Linked DNA regions of Lepisosteus oculatus. Each later gene encodes a partner of the first gene's protein in a complex. Links are inferred from orthologs where the notes say so. Each region holds a gene or a part of one and is shown in the gene's direction. Other genes may lie near its edges.

Evidence for each region.
Region 2: nhp2 (region 1) and gar1 share a complex: the UniProt entries of both Homo sapiens proteins name them as parts of the H/ACA small nucleolar ribonucleoprotein (H/ACA snoRNP) complex. The link is inferred for Lepisosteus oculatus from reciprocal best matches to the Homo sapiens genes NHP2 and GAR1.

Annotation. Positions count from the first base shown.
Region 1 is NC_090706.1:29,618,595-29,625,754, forward strand, and holds the start of nhp2 (H/ACA ribonucleoprotein complex subunit 2-like protein), read left to right. Parts: upstream 1-4,142; 5' UTR 4,143-4,267; coding exon 4,268-4,415; intron 4,416-4,863; coding exon 4,864-4,933; intron 4,934-5,861; coding exon 5,862-5,967; intron 5,968-7,160. Other genes in the region: bromodomain-containing protein 8, read left to right, coding at 39-83, 1,760-1,922, 2,609-2,643. UniProt on the Homo sapiens protein: Required for ribosome biogenesis and telomere maintenance. Part of the H/ACA small nucleolar ribonucleoprotein (H/ACA snoRNP) complex, which catalyzes pseudouridylation of rRNA.
Region 2 is NC_090696.1:56,886,503-56,894,186, forward strand, and holds the start of gar1 (H/ACA ribonucleoprotein complex subunit 1), read left to right. Parts: upstream 1-4,679; 5' UTR 4,680-4,781; exon of another isoform or gene 4,782-4,786; intron 4,787-6,605; 5' UTR 6,606-6,607; coding exon 6,608-6,767; intron 6,768-7,684. Other genes in the region: ragulator complex protein LAMTOR3, read right to left, coding at 1,131-1,252. UniProt on the Homo sapiens protein: Required for ribosome biogenesis and telomere maintenance. Part of the H/ACA small nucleolar ribonucleoprotein (H/ACA snoRNP) complex, which catalyzes pseudouridylation of rRNA.

The DNA of each region.
Region 1 (7,160 bases):
TATTTCCAGCTCTGACTGTGTCGTTTGTCCTCTCACAGGACAGTGTGCCCATGGCCTCTCCTGCCTTCCTTCTCTCTCTCTTTGTAAGTATCACTCTGTATGCACAGCCCATTGTACTGACTGCAGCCTTCAGTGTGATACAACACAGCGCAGAGCCCTTCCCTCTCGCACAGCGCGGCGCAGAGCCCTTCCCTCTCGCACAGCGTGGCGCAGAGCCCATCGCCCCCAAAACAGCGCGGTGCAGAGCCCATCGCCCCCAAAACAGCAGGGCGCAGAGCCCTTCCCTCTTGCACAGCGCGGCGCAGAGCCCATCGCCCCCAAAACAGCGCGGCGCAGAGCCCATCGCCCCCAAAACAGCGCGGCGCAGGGCGCAGAGCCCATCGCCCCCAAAACAGCGCGGCGCAGAGCCCATCGCCCCCAAAACAGCGCAGCGCAGAGCCCTCCCCTCTCGCACAGCGCGCCGCAGAGCCCTCCCCTCTCGCACAGCGCGGCGCAGAGCCCTTCCCTCTCGCACAGCGCACCGCAGAGCCCTCCCCTCTCGCACAGCGCGCCGCAGAGCCCTTCCCTCTCGCACAGCGCGCCGCAGAGCCCATCGCCCCCAAAACAGCGCGGCGCAGAGCCCATCGCCCCCAAAACAGCGCAGCGCAGAGCCCTTCCCTCTCGCACAGCGCGGCGCAGAGCCCTTCCCTCTCGCACAGCGCGGCGCAGAGCCCTTCCCTCTCGCACAGCGCGGCGCAGAGCCCTTCCCTCTCGCACAGCGCACCGCAGAGCCCTCCCCTCTCGCACAGCGCGCCGCAGAGCCCTCCCCTCTCGCACAGCGCGGCGCAGAGCCCTCCCCTCTCGCACAGCGCACCGCAGAGCCCTCCCCTCTCGCACAGCGCGGCGCAGAGCCCTTCCCCTCTCGCACAGCGCGGCGCAGAGCCCTTCCCTCTCGCACAGCGCGGCGCAGAGCCCTTCCCTCTCGCACAGCGCGGCGCAGAGCCCTTCCCTCTCGCACAGCGCACCGCAGAGCCCTTCCCCTCTCGCACAGCGCGGCGCAGAGCCCTTCCCTCTCGCACAGCGCGGCGCAGAGCCCTTCCCTCTCGCACAGCGCGGCGCAGAGCCCATCACCCCGACACAGAGCTGCCCTACGTACATTACCAGTTTACATTGTACACAAACTTATACAGAGTCATAGAAAATGCAAGCAGATAGTGTCTTGTGCTGTGAGGTTGTTTTCCGAATGCAGTGATTTTAGAGTACAGTTTTACAGCTGTCAGTGTGCTGTGAAATTATGATTGTGAGGGGCTGCAACAAAGTGAACATTTTTGAAGATCATACTGACACTGTGACCATAGTAAAGCTTCCTCTGCTACAGAACAGAGCTTACCATGCTATATCATATAGACTCTCCAGCTGTGTGTCTCAGTAGAGAGTCTCCAGTAAGAGTCTGTACTGTAGCTGTGTGTCTCTGTACAGAGTCTCTAGTAAGAGTCTGTACTCCAGCTGTGTGTCTCTGTACAGAGTCTCTAGTAAGAGTCTGTACTTCAGCTGCGTGTCTCTGTACAGAGTCTCCAGTAAGAGTCTGTACTCCAGCTGTGTGTCTCTGTACAGAGTCTCCAGTAAGAGTCTGTACTCCAGCTGTGTGTCTCTGTACAGAGTCTCCAGTAAGAGTCTGTAATCCAGCTATGCGTACATATGGCGTAGGTATTAGAGGAAGATCGACAAACATTCCCTGACCATCCTTCCCTCCTGTTTGTGTTCTGTTTACCCGGGTCAGTGTCCCTGGAAGAGACGGGGGTCAGTAGATCCGTCTCTGTGGAAAGACAGGGTAGAGGTGGGACAGAGCAGGAGCTCTGCCTTGATCAGAAAGAGGGACAGACAGCAGGCAGGGCAGCAGCAGTCTTCAGGACAGGGTCAGCACAGACAGAGGGGCAGGAGAGGTATGTACCTCCAGTTGGAGAGCCAGTCAGTTAGGATAGGAAACCTTTATACTTATGTACATGTATGGCCTGTAAAAGCCATCTGCTTTAAACTTCTTCTTATTATGGAATTTGGACATTACCAGTCACAAAAAACAACTCCAAAAACATTTCCTGTCTTCAAAGCACTTGATGTGAGTCTCTAGTCTCTTTTGAGTTGGTGCTCCACAGCTTTGGGGTACAGCGACACGAGGCCCTGCACCCACAGAGTGGAGACGCGTAAGGTGGGGTCGCACGGTTAACCCGAGTCAGCTGAGCAAAGGTCAGGTGGAGGGGAACGAATGGATCCGGGGGAGACCAGGCATGTGAAGCCTTGAATATAAGCAAAGGGATCTCGAAATCAGTTCAAAACCTGACAGGAAGCCGGTGCAGGGATTCCAGGACAGGAGTGGTGTGATCACTTGCACATGGCAAGGCTAAATGCCAGACTCTGCACATAATGCAAGTAAGTTTTAGAGAGCCCTGCAAGTGGCGTGTTGACACTCCTTGACAAGCCAGCGTGTCAGTCAATCAGTCTAGGTCCGGGTGTGAGGGACTCGGAAATCGTGTGAATTTCAGCTGGTCACTGTTTCAGCCCTTGTGCACCGCAGGGTGGCAAAGCCTTTCAGACAGCAGGCTCAGATTTCCTTCTTCTCTGCCCTGTTCAGGACGGAGGAACCAGGGGCCGGAGGTGTGCCATTGAAGCTGACATGAAAATGAAGAAGTGAGAGTGGGCGGGGAGGAGAGAGAGGCGGAGGGGCGCCGGCGGGCCGTTGGAACAGTGTTGCTCTGGGGGAGAACGCTCCTCACGCCAGTCTCGCTGCCCCCCTCTCGCTCTCCTCCTCTGGCCTGGGCCCCGACTGGGACATGCAGTTTTCTCTCCAATTCCCTGTTTCACTTTGTTTTTTAAGTGACTTATTTTTGTTTCTTCCTCTCTGTCCCGGGACATCTCCTTGCTCCTTCACTCTGTCCCGGGACATCTCCCTGACTGACTCCCTCCACTCCTCGCTCTGTCCCGGGACATCTCCTCCCTGACTGACTCCCTCCACTCCTCGCTCTGTCCCGGGACATCTCCTCCCTGACTGACTCCCTCCACTCCTCGCTCTGTCCCGGGACGTCTCCCTGCTCCCTCCCTCGCTTTGTCCCGGGATGTCTCCTCCCTCTGTTGTGTTGTTGTTGTTGTTGTTTGATTGTAGGAGTGCAGAGAATTTTGTCCTGTTGGCACAAGTGTGTGCACAGACCATACTGCCCTTGTGTACATATTTTCAATTTTCATTTTTTTGCTAATGTACTACTGAATGTTGTAATAAAGAAATATTAAAAATGTTCTTTCTATATGACCTGTGTGGATTGAGCTGTCCCATGTGAGAGCTGGGATCTGGTACTCCTGTTGTAACAGGACTGTTCTACTGTACTCCTGTTGTAACAGGACTGTTCTACTGTACTGGGACTGTAGCGCCTATTGTAACAGGACTGTTCTACTGCACTGGGACTGTAGCTCCTATTGTAACAGGACTGTTCTACTGCACTGGGACTGTAGCTCCTATTGTAACAGGACTGTCCTACTGTACTGCAACTGTAGCTCCTATTGTAACAGGACTGTTCTACTGTACTGGACTGTAGCTCCTATTGTAACAGGACTGTTCTACTTCACTAGGACTGTAGCTCCTATTGTAACAGGACTGTTCTACTGTACTGGACTGTAGCTCCTATTGTAACAGGACTGTTCTACTTCACTAGGACTGTAGCTCCTATTGTAACAGGACTGTTCTACTGTACTGGACTGTAGCTCCTATTGTAACAGGACTGTTCTACTTCACTAGGACTGTAGCTCCTATTGTAACAGGACTGTTCTACTGTACTGGGACTGTAGCCTCTATTGTAACGGGACTGTTCTACTGTACTGGACTGTAGCCCCTATTGTAACAGGACTGTTCTACTGCACTGGGACTATAGCTCCTATTGTAACAAAACTGTTCACTGTACTAAGACTGGGCACTGGAACTGTAGCCCCTGTCATAACGTGTTCTGCTGTTCAGGGACTGTAAATGTAATTGTAAAATGCTATGGTAAAAGCTGTTCAGTGAATGTAACGGTTCGTCTCGAGAAAGTCCGTTTCGTGTTCAATACTCCTCCGTAGCACCAGAGGGCGCGAGTATCCCTCGGGCCACATGGCGAGTTAAAAATCAAGCAGGAAAGGGAAGTGACGTCAAGGATCCAGTAACAACACGTGTTGTGGCTGCAGACCGCGTCTCTAAAGCCAGAAGGTTGAACATTGCAGGCGCAATTCACGCGAGTAACAGAATAAGCAGAATTTGTTTTAAAAAATGACCAAAGCGAAAAAGGAGAAGGTGGAGGAGGAGAGCGGCAGCACGGAGAACACGTATCAGGACCTCATCGCCAATATCAACGCCATTGCCCAGCCGCTGGCGTCTCGGAAGCTCACGAAGAAACTGTACAAGTGCGTCAAGAAGGGTAGGAGCACTGCCGCCTCGCTGCTGCTGCTAACATGAGTGTGGACGCCCCTCTCCGGGCCTGCCGGACACCGGGGTCCGAGACGGGGTACCGTGCACGTCGGAGTGAATGCGCTGTTCATTAGCTGTGCTAATGAACGGCTACTGGCGATAATGAGCAGACTGGTTATTTTGCTCGCTTTTCTATCCCTTCTCCTTTCTCTCTCCCTCCCCAACTCTTCTCCGTCTCACTCCTCCTACATTCAAACAGCTTTATTGGCGGGGCCGATGAGTTACAGTGATGCCAAAGCACGTACAACTAACACGTTTACAGACATTTAAATATGGAGCATTATTGAGTGACAGGAGATCACACGCTGGGCTGCAGCTCTATTGAGTTTCCTCTCCCAGTAGGATCGGAAGCTACAATTGTGTAATTCAAGAGTTTTTACTCTCTCACTCTATCCCAGCCTCCAAGCAGAAGCAGATCCGTAGAGGGGTGAAGGAGGTCCAGAAGTTCATCAACAAGGGGGAGAAGGGGTAAGTCAGAGGCGACTTTGGTGTGAGTGTGTCAGGTTGAATCGAATGTGTTGCTGTGGGTCAGGTGGGGAGTGTTGTTGTGCAGGACTGTGGTGATGCTGTGTGTCTGGGTCAGGTGGGGAGTGTTTGGTGTTGCAGGACTGTTGTGATGCTGTGTGTCGGTGTCAGGTGGGGAGTGTTGTTGAGCAGGACTGTGGTGATGCTGTGTGTGGGGGTCAGGTGGGGAGTGTTGTTGAGCAGGACTGTGGTGATGCTGTGTGTCTGGGTCAGGTGGGGAGTGTTGTTGTGCAGGACTGTGGTGATGCTGTGTGTCTGGGTCAGGTGGGGAGTGTTGTTGTGCAGGACTGTGGTGATGCTGTGCGTGGGGGTCAGGTGGGGAGTGTTGTTGTGCAGGACTGTGGTGATGCTGTGTGTCTGGGTCAGGTGGGGAGTGTTTGGTGTTGCAGGACTGTGGTGATGCTGTGTGTGTGGGTCAGGTGGGGAGTGTTTGGTGTTGCAGGACTGTGGTGATGCTGTGTGTGGGGGTCAGGTGGGGAGTGTTGTTGAGCAGGACTGTGGTGATGCTGTGTGTGGGGGTCAGGTGGGGAGTGTTGTTGAGCAGGACTGTGGTGATGCTGTGTGTGGGGGTCAGGTGGGGAGTGTTGTTGTGCAGGACTGTGGTGATGCTGTGTGTGGGGGTCAGGTGGGGAGTGTTGTTGAGCAGGACTGTGGTGATGCTGTGCGTGGGGGTCAGGTGGGGAGTGTTGTTGTGCAGGACTGTGGTGATGCTGTGCGTGGGGGTCAGGTGGGGAGTGTTGTTGTGCAGGACTGTGGTGATGCTGTGTGTGGGGGTCAGGTGGGGAGTGTTGTTGAGCAGGACTGTGGTGATGCTGTGTGTGTGTGGGGAGAGTGAGTGATGCTGTGTTCCTGACTTCTTGTCACTGTGCAGGATTGTGGTGTTGGCCGGGGACACACTGCCTATCGATGTGTACTGTCACATCCCTGTCATGTGTGAGGACCGCAGCCTGCCCTACGCCTACGTCCCTTCTAAAGTGGTGAGAATCCCTCGTTATGCCATCATTACACCCTCCTCAACGCAGTCCTCAAGATTGTAACATCTGCATGGTTCTAGTGTTGAAGGCAACACTAAATGCTGCAGATAGTCCCTGTGGAGTCCAGCACACTGATGCAGCCCAGTCACAGGGCTCTAGACTCTTCCAGTCCCTGTGGTGTCCAGCACACTGATGCAGCCCAGTCACAGGGCTCTAGACTCTTCCAGTCCCTGTGGAGTCCAGCACACTGATGCAGCCCAGTCACAGGGCTCTAGACTCTTCCAGTCCCTGTGGAGTCCAGTACACTGATGCAGCCCAGTCACAGGGCTCTAGACTCTTCCAGTCCCTGTGGAGTCCAGTACACTGATGCAGCCCAGTCACAGGGCTCTAGACTCTTCCAGTCCCTGTGGAGTCCAGTACACTGACACGGCCCAGTCACAGGCTCTAGACTCTTCCAGTCCCTGTGGAGTCCAGTACACTGACACAGCCCAGTCACAGGGCTCTAGACTCTTCCAGTCCCTGTGGAGTCCAGTACACTGACACGGCCCAGTCACAGGCTCTAGACTCTTCCAGTCCCTGTGGAGTCCAGTACACTGACACAGCCCAGTACTGGACTCCACAGGGACTGGGCTGTGTCAGGGCTCTAGACTCTTCCAGTCCCTGTGGAGTCCAGTACACTGACACTGCCCAGTCACAGGGCTCTAGACTCTTCTGGTCCCTGTGGAGTCCAGTACACTGACACTGCCCAGTCACAGGGCTCTAGACTCTTCCGGTCCCTGTGGAGTCCAGTACACTGACACGGCCCAGTCACAGGCTCTAGACTCTTCCAGTCCCTGTGGAGTCCAGTACACTGACACAGCCCAATCACAGGGCTCTAGACTCTTCTAGTCCCTGTGGAGTCCAGTACACTGACACAGCCCAGTCACAGGGCTCTAGACTCTTCCAGTCCCTGTGGAGTCCAGTACACTGACACGGCCCAGTCACAGGCTCTAGACTCTTCCAGTCCCTGTGGAGTCCAGTACACTGACACAGCCCAGTCACAGGGCTCTAGACTCTTCCAGTCCCTGTGGAGTCCAGTACACTGACACTGCCCAGTCACAGGGCTCTAGACTCTTCTGGTCCCTGTGGAGTCCAGTACACTGACACTGCCCAGTCACAGGGCTCTAGACTCTTCCGGTCCCTGTGGAGTCCAGTAC
Region 2 (7,684 bases), on another chromosome or scaffold:
GACCACAGAGAGTCAGGACCCTGGTTTTACGTCACAACTGAAGGATGGAGCCCTTTTTAAAGTATAGTGTCCCCATCACTCTACTGGGGCATTAGGACCCACACAAACTGCAGGGAGAGCACCTCCTACTGTTTTTCCCACAAGGTCTCTCATCTAGGAACTGACCAGGCTCAAACCTGCTTAGCTTTAGTGGGTTGTCAGTTGTGAGCTGCAGGATGATATATGGCCACCGATGTAAGCTTTTGACCTAAACCATTTAAGCGGGAACAATAGAACTATAGACTTGACTTGAAATCATATGTAACATCTTGGAAAACTTTAGCAACATATATCAAAGTAGAATTTTGCCATAAAGCACAAGGATCAGGAGCAAAGGTTGAATCATTTTGTTCATAAGGAATTAACTTCAATATCAAACTACTTGTAGGCCATTAATTAAAAACTCTGTTTTCTGATTCCTGGAGGAATCGAAAATGTTAGTGTAATTTAACATGGAAGGGGAAGTGCTGTTTTCATATAGGCCAAAGTTTAAATGCCAGAACTTTATAATTAATTTTGGCACAGTTTTACCTTTTTATAGGGAAACGTCATAAACCATGAGCTATTTTTTTAGTGTTTTTGTCAAGGCAATTTTCTGTTGTCATAGATATTTTCCAGGAGGTTTTGACACCCAAGTATTTACTTCTCTTTCACATTGGGAAACACTCTCCAACCTATTATCTATTACCTCTAAAGGAAACTGATATTTTAGTGCTTGATTCATGGCAAAAGGGGGGGGGGGGGGTGAAACAATCCTTTGTTTGTCTGTAGTAACAGATAACTAAAGTCCAGTCCACAAAAACAAAATGTCTAAAAACGGTGTAAACATTTTAAAAACATGTTGCAGTTCACTTTGCTTAACCATGATTAAGCAATAAAGTACGGCAGGGTCTAGATACTTCTGAATATAACATTTGCAATTTCACTTCTTCACAGTTTGGTCTGGGGGTAGAGTTCTTGTAACGAAAGAAGAGAACTGAGGCGGAGGTTATTAAGCACAACTTTCAAACTAGTTGCAAAACAGACAAGGATTGTGAGAGTGTTTCTCTTCCCCCTGCCCAAGTACCCACTACCCAACATCCACATCTCACCTTGTTTTTTTATAGTAACATCTTGGTAATATTTTATTAAGTATATCTTGGTTGAATTTATGGTGTGGGGATTGACAGGCTGGAGATGACCTTACAGGCTCACTGAGAGCTGCCTTTTTCATTACAGTGGGTCATCAATCAAGCAGAGAGAAAAAAGTGCAGGTATCTGCTGAACATAGAGGAGAAATTAAGCTAACTGATCTCTACAATTTTTGTGATTACAATTGTGTTAGTTATTTTAATTAACTTAACGCTACTGCATTAGTACTTTAATCATCATATAAGGGGAGGGATAACACATGTCTGTTAACCATACATACTATATGCAATAGTGCACTATATAACAGTATAAAGGTGGTCTTGCTTATATGGCAATTCTGCTATTTTCTCTGCGCCAAACCCTCACAAATATTGAGACCCTACTGCATAGAAAATGCACCTAACATTTATGTTGTACCACTCTTTCATCACTAGTGATTCTTAAATATCTTTTAGATATATCTTAAATATAGATTTCTCTATAGCAAAAAACAAATTAAAGTTTTCAAACCTTGGCAACTGCTTATACAGATACCTCTTCAGCTCCTGTGAAAAACAATCAGATATAGCTGTTGGAGGGATCTGCTGTTTACTAGTGCATTCCCATTATGAGAAGGTTTGTGGTTACAGACAGCACTTTTATACCCTTCACACAATGTAACAAAGCTGGTTTAAAAATACTGAAAGGGTACATTCCATATACATAAATAAATGAAAATATGAACACTTGTTAAAGATGATGGCCAGAAATGTAATATTGCATTGCTTTGTGGTCACCTGGAAGTGTCTCAAAGCTGAAATGTGGAAAGAGATTCTAGAAGTGATCTTGATGAAGTCTGAGTAATACAGCAATTTCTTCCTTTCATTTGAGTAATTTTTTATCCCAAAGTTTTCTACATATAGATAAGCACCTGTTTGAATTACCACTGAAGTGCAATACCCACAGTGCTTCACAATGAAAATTACATTGTTCTTATGGAGTATTGGAGAAATGGAGTATACTGGGGCATTAGAACAGGATTTGGAAAAAAAAGGGAAGAGTGCCACCTACTGTTTCTACCAACAACACCAACTTACAACAGCAACCTGAATTTCTCTGGACATCACCCTTAACAGCACTGACCTGCTTAGCTTCTGAAATCTGATAAGATCAAGACATAATGTTGTAATTCTTCTGTCTAAAAATAAAAACTGTAAATGAACTTTTCACCTATTTACTGAAGAGCTCCCAAATCACACCTCCTTATCTAGTGTTAATCCCGCTTTTGATTGACCAACACGACCTCCATATGACTAGACAGCAGAATATTTATGAAATGTACTACAGAATGTACTACATAAAGCATTTTGCTAGAGCAGGAAGCATAATTTGGGGGAGATGGAGAAGTTCTGCATGGAAGAACAGTAAGAAATCTAACTTAAATATTGTCAGAACAAATTAAAAGGTTACAGGAAGTGATTTTTTATTATTATCAGCACCAAAGGCAAATGAAAGAAATATTAATTGCTGTAGGGTGAATAGTTTTTAATATTGTATATTTAGGACAATTTGCAATGATTTTAGAAATATTTGTTTTTGCTGTATTTCAAACTGTCCTAATATGTGTTATATTTTAAACCCAACTTAAGTTACACAGTAATTGTTCAGGCTACAATTTGTATACAACTGTATGCACTTACAGTTCCTACACCCAAAGTTAGGAACTGCATGAAAAACATAATGATAAGATTCATGCAACAGTGGAAATTGAAAATATGTATCCATTAGTATCAGATTTGTTTTCCAACATTCACTGGTAACGGTTTGTCTTCTCTCAATTAACATCCTGCAGCAACGGAAAAAAAAAAAGATCTGCAGTTTGCTAACATTAACATACAACATTTTTTAGACAATTTATACAGTAAATACTTACATCTGCCATTTTCTGTGTTTTTATTAGAAGTTAAAAACCTAGAAAGTAAAACAACTAAAATCAGATGTTGTGATGAAAGGACAAGAGCAAGGACTGGAAAGTGTCATACTTTTTTCAAGAAATGTTTCTAACTCCAGTTTTTTTGCATGAAACTCTGTTTTATTAAAGGAAATGTATAAAACTGTAAATGTATAAAACTGCAAATCTAAATAACAGTAATCTACATCTCTTAATGTTTCAAATGTGATAGTTTAGTTACATTTGACACCAACATCAAATTTAACACTCGTTCAAACTAAATCGTCTTTCAGCAAATAATATAATTTTTAGACGGAAGTGTGAATGTTTCTGATACTGTAGATTAAAACAACTTAATTGCCACTAGTTCCAGTGGCCAGAATAAATAAGACTATATATTATATTTATTGGGAATACCTCTGTCAAATAAGTATTATTTTAAAATAAAAATATTATAATTTATGAGTAGTAAATTAATGTCTGATATTATTGGAGAAGGAGGTAGAAAATATTTAGGGCTTCAGAATGGACCGAACGAAAAAATAGATAGCACTTCTCCTTCTAATGTCAAAGACAACGAGCATTAACATTTACGTTTAATTATTATTAATTATGTATAATGTTAATTAAACGTACACTTAATTAATAAAGAAATAGGAATAAACGTTTTATCAAAATCAGTGTCAAGATAAATGTATAGGATAATTTAGAGGCACTATATGTCACCTTTTTAAGCTAGATGACCTATCTCCTACTTTTAATTTCTACTACAAATTAATTTCAAACTGAGACCTCAGCGGCTGAACCAAATAAAAAGGAAACGAAAAGACAATGTGTCTATGATTCCTTTTAAAAAAGAAAAAAAATACGATAACCTGTTCAAAGGCAGAATACTCTAATTGGACTTATAATGCAAAATAAGACGATATTACCTGCTTCTGCTAGATTTTTACGGAAGGTTTGTAGAAAATGAAATAAATCACATGATATTTACACAGAAACGGAAGTATTTTAACAATTGACCTTTCAACAATTGACAGCTTCCGCTGTCACAAACGTAAAGAGTTTCCTATCGTACCGTGCCTCCCCATAAATGTGAGCATTCTTGTTTTAGTTTTTTCTACATTTATAAAGTATACTGAATTAAATAAAATGGGAATTTTACAGTACACCTCACATATAAAAACAAAAGAAACAGGAAACATGGTTATAAAGGTCTCAACTAAACCAGCATTGTTACCTGCAGTTACCCTTTTAATAATAATAATAATAATAATAATAATAATAATAATAATTGCTTACACACTTATTTAGTGCTTTCCTGGAAACTCCACTCAGGGCGCTTTACAAGTAGCGGTACAGCAAATCACAGAGATCATTAGAAGTGAAATACTTATGAGTTACATGAAAAGAACATCTAGTTTATAACTAAAGATAAACAACTGAGGATTAAGGTTTTGACAAATACGCTGTAATGATTCCAGTATCTGTGACTATGAGCTTGATCATCAAAATAGGATTTCCTGATTATTTGCATTACAAGCATTTTACGACAGTGTGAATCCTTGTGGTTACAACTGACTTACGGTAAAGGCCACGTGTGGTTGTAGGAAATCAGCGCGGCGTGGTGGTGTAAAGAACATATTGGGCATTTTGGGAGCAGGCGGTATTTCAGATAAAGGTGAGGTAAATGTTTTTTTTTTAAGATGTGCTTATGATTTTTTATTGGGTCATGCTTTATAGTCTAGTTAAAGTCCAGGAAGTTTTCCAAACTATTTTATGAGTCAGTTTGCTTTGGGGAGTACCTAAAACTGAACAGTTTGGTTATAGTTTAATTACTTCACAATTCATACCTACGTTAATTTCTACATAAATAATTGTATGCTTTGGTTCAATCACATATTAAGAGTTAATCGGCATTTTTGTCTTCATCACTTCCCCCTAAATTAAAGGAGATATTTATGCATGGTTTCAAAGTGAACGTCGTGAAAAAAGTAATGTCGATTAATTTCAATGAGCAACGCACTTCAGTTCAGTGTGGCATAATAAAGTGGCTCCATCTTATTCATTACCATTTTGGAACATGTGCTTTGTCCACTGAAAGCTAAAGTGTAAGTTTTGTTGCGATCTCACCCGATTCTAATTTTTTTCCCCCGCGAATCCAAAATTCATGCGAAGCATGAACAGTAGTTGAGCTAAAAGGGAGTAGTACTGTTTTCTTTCATTTATGTATTATTAAGTGAAAGTCAATTCTGGTACTAGTACCCATTTATATAAAAAAAAACTGCAGTCAGGATATGAGGTTGTTACAAAAAGCTGGTCAAACTGTGTCAGATTAATCATTTCAATGAAGTTTCAATTTGCCGAGCAAGCTAGTATCAGACGGGTTTTTTTTTGTATCTTATTCTGTTGTAATTTGGTTTTACCCAAAATGCTGTCTTATCAGCCCACTTTCTCAATGACACATCATAATATGAATTAATGTTATACTTTTTATACTAATTAAGAATATTATTAATACTCTTATGCATCATACCCTAATCTGGTGGAGTATAGCTGTAGGTTTTTAAAATTTAATTAACCGTTTTTGTTTTCAATAGTGTTAGAAGACGTTCCCACAAGGAACTTTAGAAAAGAAAGATTCACATAATTGTGGAATTGGTGATTGAGCACTTCCAGGGGAGGATTAGGATTAATTGATCAACTCGGTCTCGGTTTTCAAGCAGAAAGTAACTCCTTGATTTTAATGAGTTTTAACTCTTCGGTAGGATAAGGCAGACCACATTGCGTCAGATTGCTCTGCAGAGAGACAGGTTTTAGGGAAGTTTGTCTCATTCCTAGTTATTCACAATTGGTAGTTCTCAATTGGAAATTGAGGTAAAATATGCTTTTACCTGTTGAAGCATTTAATTGTTGGAGTAACGTTTAAGAGCCAAGATGGTCAACCAAGGTGGGATCACGAAATCTAGGTCACACATTCTAAAAAAACACAAAACTCTTTTAACTTAATGGAACACTGCATTTTGCAGTCGACGTTTAGGAGGCCAGGGCTTAAATTTCACTTTAATTTTTTTTTTCTTGTGCAAAACAGGAGGATCAGAAATGTTTTGTGAGTTGCTCAAATGGCAGTAAGTGGGTCTGTTTAGTATAGTAATGTAAGTAAATGATCTAAGTGCCCGAATGTCATAAATAATATAATAAATGTCTTGTCATGCTTTGAATAAATAAAAAATGATGCTCTGATGAATAATTATAACACTTATGTATCATGTCGATGTTGCTGTATGCAAATGTGAGACTGTACGGTTTTGATTGTAGCTTTTGTTCCTTAACTACTGATGTATCCTTCAATACTACAGAAACCAGGATACATCCCAGCTCTTTGGACGTCTGCTGTTTATATTTGAGCAAAATACGTTTTTTTGTGTTGCAGATACAACACTGACCAAAAGGCCAGTGGGAGAAAGTCCTTACTCCTCATGAACTGTTGTCTGTTTTCTTCTAGCAATGTCTTTCCGTGGAGGAGGTGGCCGAGGCGGCAGAGGAGGGGGGTTTAATCGAGGTGGACGAGGAGGTTTTGGGGGCCGGGGCGGTGGGGGAGGATTTCGAGGTGGTGGCCGAGGAGGCTTCAACAGACAAGATTTTGGACCTCCAGAATATGTTGTTGGTAAAGAAACTTTATCGTTGACTGTAGACCTAAATATTATTCTGTGTAGGGTTTACTGAGATGTACACAGTCGCTGTTTATTATTTTGAAGATAACTAGCAAAATAATTAATTTGGCAGACCCGGTTGTAGAAATGTAAATATTACATGTTAAGAGATTGAGTTACAAAATGAAGGAATGTCACCTTTTATAAAAATCTTTATGAATTAGGTGCTTTCTTTTAAAAAGGTATTTGCTTGGTTGGGAACAAAAAAATACAGTTACACTTAGCTTTGACATTATATGAAATATGAAGACCGCTGGTCTTACAAAAGGATGAAGTATTTCTTCCATATATTATCGTTTCTTATAACATTTAGAACTGAAGTCTATGTGGACCATTTTAAAACCAGTCAAAAAAAGTAATATAACACACCACTTGGGTACATTATATCAACTCTGTTATGGTACATCGAAGAACACAATGCATATTGTCAATATTTGCTTTGTCAAAATGTCTTGTAGACGTGTTTTAAGGGCATTGCTATCTTAATTTCTTTTCTGGTTTAATTTAAGTATGCAGCTGTGAACCATAGGAATTCGTAGGATTAAATTAGAAAAGAAAAAGCTATTTTTTTGCAGAAGCATGATTGAGTTTTTGCAGTTGGCTTTTTTGAGCAGCACTTCCTTCCCAACCACAGTATATTTTTTATTATACAGATAAAACTGCCCTGATAATTTCAGAGTTGCCACATGGCTTATGGACAACCATGCTACTTATTTTAAGCTTGTCCTGTAGCTCTTATAAAAAAATACTATTTACTGTCATAAGTGGCATGCTTTTATGCATGCTTTTTTTGGTTTAACATAGCTCTAGTTCTTTATAGTAGCATCCCAGTCTTCCAGGATACCTCATTATTTTAATTAGTTCATTTTAA